2 linked regions of the Rattus norvegicus genome follow. The protein of the gene in region 2 purifies or fractionates together with the protein of the main gene of each other region. This does not show direct contact. Links are inferred from orthologs where the notes say so. Each region holds a gene or a part of one and is shown on either strand. Other genes may lie near its edges.

Region 1 (2,911 bases), on a different chromosome or scaffold from region 2:
AGAGAGAGACAACGCAGGGGAGAAAACAGACTCCTGGGTGACCAACCGTATTTAACAGCTCAAACTCAAAACTAGAGTTTCGGGGAACGTGAGCAAAGGGTACCTCGGCTCCTTGAATTCCACCCTCCTAAGACCCATCAGAGAGACAGAGTTCCTGAGCCCTCAGACTGAGAAACACACAGCACTAGAACAAGGGGCTGACAGGAGACAGCCCCAGCTCTACCATGAGTCTTGGTGACACTCACTTCCAGGACCATCCCGGACTTTAGGTCCCACTGGTACAGACTCAGAGATGGAGTCAGCAGCTGAGCGTCCCTCTGAGATGTCCATAGCAGCTTCTGCATCTAGGTCATCAATGTGACTGAAGATCCAGTCTACAGCCCGCTCTAAGCTATTGTTCTTGGAGAGGAGGGAAGTGTTACTTTTCCTCAGGAGTCAGTCAGGCACGCAAACATCAAGAGCTGCCAGCTTCAACCACACTGTACTGGGTTTGGTACGTTAACCAAAAGGCGTTCATGTAACCTTACTCCCACCCTGTCCCACTTGTGGCTCCAGGTCCCATGGGGCAGCACATACCGTGGCCCGTAGAGCTTTCAGGGCCTGGTCCCGTGAGAAGCCCATGGAGACAATGGTGGCCACACAGTCCTCTGGTGGGGGATCGGCTGCTGCACTTGTGGAGCCAGGCCCACTGGACCCAGGCAGGATGAGGGGATTGGCAAAATCTGGGGATGAGGAAGGGATGAGTGTTTGGGGATGTGTAGAGGTCCCGCCCCACCCTGCTCCCCCCTGCCTGTGCCTACCTGGGTCATCCATGTGTGACATGACCCAGTTCATGGCTGCTTCAGCACCACTGTTCCCTGTATAGTACACGGCTTTCCGGCAGGCGTCCATAGGGAAGCCCATCTCCACCAACTGTATGACGACGGACTCGTCCAGCATGGGCGCTGTGGTAGAATTGGAGCGATGACTTCCTGCTACTGTTTCCATTGGTTTCTTCACCTCCTCCAACCCCATGCCAAGCCTCTAGCCTTCTCCCAATCACCCCGCATGTGCTTTTCTCTTTCCTAGACAAGCATTTCATACCACAACTAAAATAGCCACAAGCAAACTATGAGCCTGGTATCCCAAAGTTGATCAGTTTTCTGCCATTTGTGGAGCTCATTCCCCTTCCCCCGCCCCACCCAAACCAAGGAAGTAACAAAGATACAGAGGCCATTAGCCCATGCTACCGACATCCACATTAAGAATGCAGATGGGAGTGTTTCAGCCCGTCTTCACATCCAACAAGGGTACACAGGGAGTTTGGAAGGGAGGACAGGAGAAACAAAGGAAGGGAAGGAAGGAATACAGAGAAGCCCTCCCCCATCAGCAAGGGAGAGAGACAGGCAGGAAGAAGAATCACTAACATGTTGGAGAGGAGAAGTGAGGGGAGCAGAAGGAGTCTTCGTCTTCGTTGCCATAGAAACCAAGGCTACCTTTGGGCTCATCCGGAGTGACCAGGGGTGGGGCAATGTCAGGCAGCTCCTCCTCTCCGGGCTGTAGCCCTGTGCCCCTCAGCTGGGAAATATCTAGCTCCTCTGGCATCTCAATGGACACATCTGCAATTGGAACGGTGAAAAGGTCACTTCGGCAGCTTCCTGATGCTAACCTGCAAAAGCACAGTAGACTGTCAAGCTCCTGTGGCATGCTTTAGATCTGCTCTGAATAGTTCCAACCATGGGAAACCTGCGAAAGGGCAGGAGTCAGAGGACCTATTATCTACCACGAGTGATAGACAGGCAAGGGGCCTCTACGGTCAGAGTGCCTTATACTTCTGAAGGGCTCAGTTTCCTCCTTGACAAAACCAAGACAAATCAAGAGTGCCAGGTTAGAGCCAGGGGCCTGTAAGACCTGCTTCAAGATTAACCCAATTAAAAGCACTGTCATCAACTAGAAAAACTGTAACAATACAATCAGTCATGACTATCAAGATAGTTTTAGCCAGGTATCGTGGCACATGCCTTCAATCCCAGCACTTGAGAGGCAGAGGCAAGCAAATCTCTGTATGAGGCCAACCCGATTTACACTGCAACTTCCAGGCCAGCCAGGGCTACACAGTGAGACTCTGTCTCAAAAACAAGGAAAAACTCAAAGAAGTTTTAATCAGTATCTTTTCAAACTAGATACATTTTGAAACATATACAAAATGCTTCCCTTTTCAGAGAAAAATCTGAGGAACACTAGTTGATACATGTTAAAACTATCTTTTACTAAGACTTCTTTTTTTTTTTTTTTTTAAAGATTTATATGAGTACCCTGTCCAGGGGCATTGGATCCCCATTACCAATGGTTGTGAGCCACCATGTGGGTGCTGGGAATTGAACTCAGGACCTCTGTAAGAGCCGTCAGTGCTCTTAACTGCTAAGCCATCTCTCCAGCCCCTTTCTAGGACTTTCTATATCACCACCCTCATCCCGAACAGCATACCCAGCTTCTTGGGCACCCAGTCTAAGCCAAAGGTGAACTTCTTGATCTGGATGACCAGGTAGTCAGGGAAGGAGGCAAACCGTGTAGTCCTGGAGAGAGAAAATGTGCTGGCACCCCAGAGCTCTCCTTTCTCTACACTGGTCTTGGTGTCTCTTAGATACTCCCTTCTCCTCTTGCCTGGGTAGAGATCAGGGGGTACAACAAGGAGCTGCAGAAGCAAAGATTTGATTGGCCGGAGCAGCATTGTGCTGAGGACTTGCTCCCTAAAACTGAAGCACCTCTTTAGGTCTCAAAACCATGCCAGAGGCCTGCTGTTTTCTAGAAGCCAGATTTGCCTTCAGGTGACACTAAGTGCCTGGGCTAGAGCATGACGTAGAGGCTGGCCATACTGGAAAAAAAAGCTTGTACTATAAGAGTGTTGGGAGAGGATAAGGTAAGAGATGGA
Region 2 (3,669 bases):
ACTTTCAAGGGAAGAAGGCTCTGGGGTAGTACTTTTTCTGTTGTTCTGAACTCAAAAAAGTCATGAGGCTGTAAATCAAAAGTATGGATGTCATGCGCTAAGTCTTCAAAAGTCCATTTCCAAGCCAAAAGGGGACAGAAAAGGAAAAAAATAATTATACCATACATGTCCAGCATGCAGGCTTTTTTTTTTATTAATATAATGTCTCTTTCCCATAATGTCTTTGAAACTGTTAATAGTTCGTTGTCGCTAAGACAAAGTAGCAAGCATCGTAATGCATGAGATGAGAGGAAGTTTGTTTTTGTGTTTTTGTTTGTTTTTAATGGCAGGCTAAACTTTCAGATTTGGCATCATAAGGCCAAAGCTCCCAAGTCACACCCAGAAGGTTGATGCAGCCTTGATTGTGGCAGGTTCAGGAGAGGCTTTAATTCATTCAGTTTTAGCATAACAATGCCTAAAAAAAAAAAAAAAAACCCGGTGGAACTCAGCTCGCTGCAAGGTCTATAGCATTTCACATTTTTTTCCTTTGCAAGCTCAATCAGAAGAACTCAGGAGGAGAAGAAAAAACCCTGCTCTTTTTTTTTTTTCTTTTTTCTTTTATCTCAAGAACATGGTGCAGAGGGAGGGAGGGCAGAGGCTGGGAAACACAGCAAGCTCCAAAAAAATTAGTAATAATAAACAAAAACAAAGAAGAAAAAAGAAAATCCAAACAAAATAAAAAAACACACACACAGAGAATGAACACCAGCTCATGAACTAAAGAAGAAGAAGAAAAAAAATATACAGGCGCTTGATGGCCGGGTTCAAAGGTGAGTTATGTCCTACATGAAGTATCCTGCTCAGATCTTTGACCCTTGTGCAAGTCCAGGGTATGTGTGGGGTAGGCGGTGTAAAAAGAGTAATAATAATAATAAAAAAGACCAAAACAACCAAGCTAGCAAGTTACAGGGGAATTCAGGTTGGCAATCCATGAGCCAGATACCCTTTCCCTCCCCAACTCAAAAGAGCCACCACCACCACCACAAGCTTGCTGTGTGTGTGTGTGTGTGTATGTGTGTGTGTGTGTGTGTGTGTGTGTGTGTGTGTGTGTGTGTGTGTGTGTGTGTGTGCGTGCAGGGCCAAGGGGAGCAAACTCGCCAGGGGAGGGGGCGAGGTGGTGGCGAGCGTGGCCCTGCAAACTGGCAAGCCCACTCAGGAGCCGGACCCCCACGGAGCATTTAACAAGGTGGCTAGCTGGGATCGCGTGTCACACTCACATGAAAAATTCGGGAGAGGAAGGGTTGTCGCTGCTCGAGCCGTTTTCTCGGAACCCGCTGCTCACCAACTTCTCGTATTTCTCCTTGTAGGCGTCCCTTTCGCGCACCAGCCTGGAGATCTCCTGCTTGAGGTGGTCGACCTGCTGCAGCAGCTGGTTCTTCTCCGACTCCAGGACGTGTCTCTGCTGCACCCTCTTGAAGCGGCAGGACTGGGCATAGCCGCGGTTTTTCAGGGTCCGCCTCTTCTGCTTCAGTCGGATCACCTCCTCCTTGCTGACCCCGCGCAGCTGCCGGTTCAGCTCACGCACCGACATGGTCACCAACTGCTCGTCCGAGAAGCGGTCGTCGAAGTGCAGGCCTCCCGCGGCATGGTGCGGGTGCAGGGCGCCCCCCGCCCCCGCCGTGCCCCCGCCGCCGCCGCCGCCGCCGCCCCCGGCGCTGGCCGGGCCACCGCCGCCCGCGCCACCCGCGCCGCTCGCAGAGGCGGACGCGCTACCCGCGGCTCCCGGGGCGCCGGCCGTCGGGTGGTGGTGGTGCCCCGTGGCGTGGTGGTGGTGGTGATGGTAGTGAGGTGCCCCGCCGCTCTGCGCGGCGGCCGCGGCGATCACGGCGGACACCACGGCGGCGGCGGGGCCCATCTCCTCGCCGCTGCCGCCCAGGGAGGCGCCGGCGCCGGCCCCCGCTGCCGCGGCCAGCTGCTGCGCTCCCCGCGCATAGCCATCGAAGCCACCCTGGAGCTGGTGGCTATTGCTGATGAGCGCCTCGACTGCGTCCTCCGGGCTGAAGCCCAGCGCCTCCGGGTTGAGCTGCTGCGGGTAGCCGGTCATCCAGTAGTAGTCTTCCAGGTGCGCCTTCTGTTCGCTGCCCGAGCCCGGGCTGGGCGCCGAGAAGCTGGGGGACGGGGGCACCGAGCTGCAGGGCGTGCTCATGGGGGTGGAGGACAGCGAGCCCCCGGCGATGAGACGGCCGCACTGGCTGATGATGCGGTCGGTCTCCACCGGTTCCTTTTTCACTTCAAACTTCATCAGATCGAAGTCATTAACATATTCCATGGCCAGGGGACTGGTGGGCAGGTCGGAATTGTTCATTGCCAGTTCTGAAGCCATCCTCCTGCCTCCGCCACCGCCGCCGCCGCTCCGCCAGATGGGCTGCAGGAGAGGGGCCAGCGGGCTGTGCTGGGTGGCCAGCGGGTGAGCCAGCTTGCCGGGCTAGGGCGCTTCTAGCTCGCGCGGCGGTGGCTGTGGCCCGAAAGCTCGAGCGTGCACACACCCCCCGCCCTGCCCGCAGCCCCCCGCGCCCGCCCTCCCTCCCCCCTGCTCACGCCAATGTGCTCTCTCTCTTTCTCTCTTGCTCTCTCTCTCTCTCTCCCGCTCGCCCCGGGCCCCCTCCTCGCCTGCTCGCCTCTCTGAGCTCCGATCCCGGGCGCTTCAGGCTCGGGAAGGTCCTCCGCGGCTGGCGGTGGCGGTGGTGATGACAGCGGCAGAGAGGATGCCGGAGGAGCCCGGCCCGGTGCGCGGCGTCCCCGGCTCGCCGCTCCGCTGCGCGCTTTGCATAAGGAGGGCTCGCCTAAGCCGGTCGGGGCTGCAGGCGGGGCGCGCGCGGCGGCTGCTCCGGGGTTGTGTGGCGCGGCGGGTGGCTGTCCCGGAGGCGCGGGCCTCCACACCGGGGTGGTTAACACTTCACGCTTCTCTCCTCTTCTGCCTGGCTCTTATGGTTACTATTATTATTTTCTTTTCTCTCTCCGGATCCCTCGCGTGCGCGCGCGCTCTCTCTTTCTCTCCTCACCCTCTCCCTCCGTGCAAAGTGCAAGACCGAGGTGCAGGCCGGCTGGAGGCAAGGGAGGGGGGAGTTTAGTTCTTTCTTGCCCTTTTTTTTTTCTTTTGGTTTTGGTTTTTCTTTTCTTTTCTTTCTTTCTTTCTTTTTTTGCTTTAAAGCAAAATGGCAAAGTCCTGGACCAAGGCAAGGCCGAGAGCAAAAGGGTGGGGGGAGAGGCCGAGCGGACAAGCAGCTCGAGCTACAGCTCCGAGATGAAAAAAGATTTTAAAGCCTCTGATCCAGCGAGAAGAGTTTAAAGCAATTGCTGAGTTTTATAGCACCCGTGACGTCAGGTTCAAATGGGAAATTGACTGGCACTCTCCGCCAATGGGAGGCGGCGAAAGCGGCAGCGATTAGCATAATAGTATAGAAACAAGGAAACTTTTCGGAGCTGTCAATCACAGCCCAATCAGCTGACTGTCAGCTGGGACAGGCTGGCTTAACCCTTGCGGCGCCGCTGCTGGGGCGCAGCCAGGGAGCAACATCCCCCACCACCGCCCCGTGCGAAGTTTAATGCACCAAGGGACAGAGTTTACTAAAAGGGCGGCTGGAATCCGATGGTAGGACCCGGGAGGAAGGTTTGCTTTCTTCAGAGTTT

The links. Proteins that work in one complex are often made in the same cells at the same time.
Region 1: the proteins of Maf (region 2) and Usp5 purify together in Homo sapiens (affinity purification with western blotting; 3 studies listed by BioGRID, with this or other methods). This does not show direct contact. The link is inferred for Rattus norvegicus from reciprocal best matches to the Homo sapiens genes MAF and USP5.

Annotation. Positions count from the first base shown.
Region 1 is NC_086022.1:159,308,075-159,310,985, forward strand, and holds part of Usp5 (ubiquitin carboxyl-terminal hydrolase 5), read right to left. Parts: intron 2,556-2,911; coding exon 2,467-2,555; intron 1,599-2,466; coding exon 1,476-1,598; coding exon of another isoform or gene 1,407-1,475; intron 945-1,406; coding exon 801-944; intron 723-800; coding exon 577-722; intron 400-576; coding exon 246-399; intron 1-245. UniProt on the Homo sapiens protein: Deubiquitinating enzyme that participates in a wide range of cellular processes by specifically cleaving isopeptide bonds between ubiquitin and substrate proteins or ubiquitin itself.
Region 2 is NC_086037.1:60,618,818-60,622,486, forward strand, and holds Maf (transcription factor Maf), read right to left. Parts: upstream 2,540-3,669; 5' UTR 2,363-2,539; coding exon 1,253-2,362; 3' UTR 595-1,252; downstream 1-594.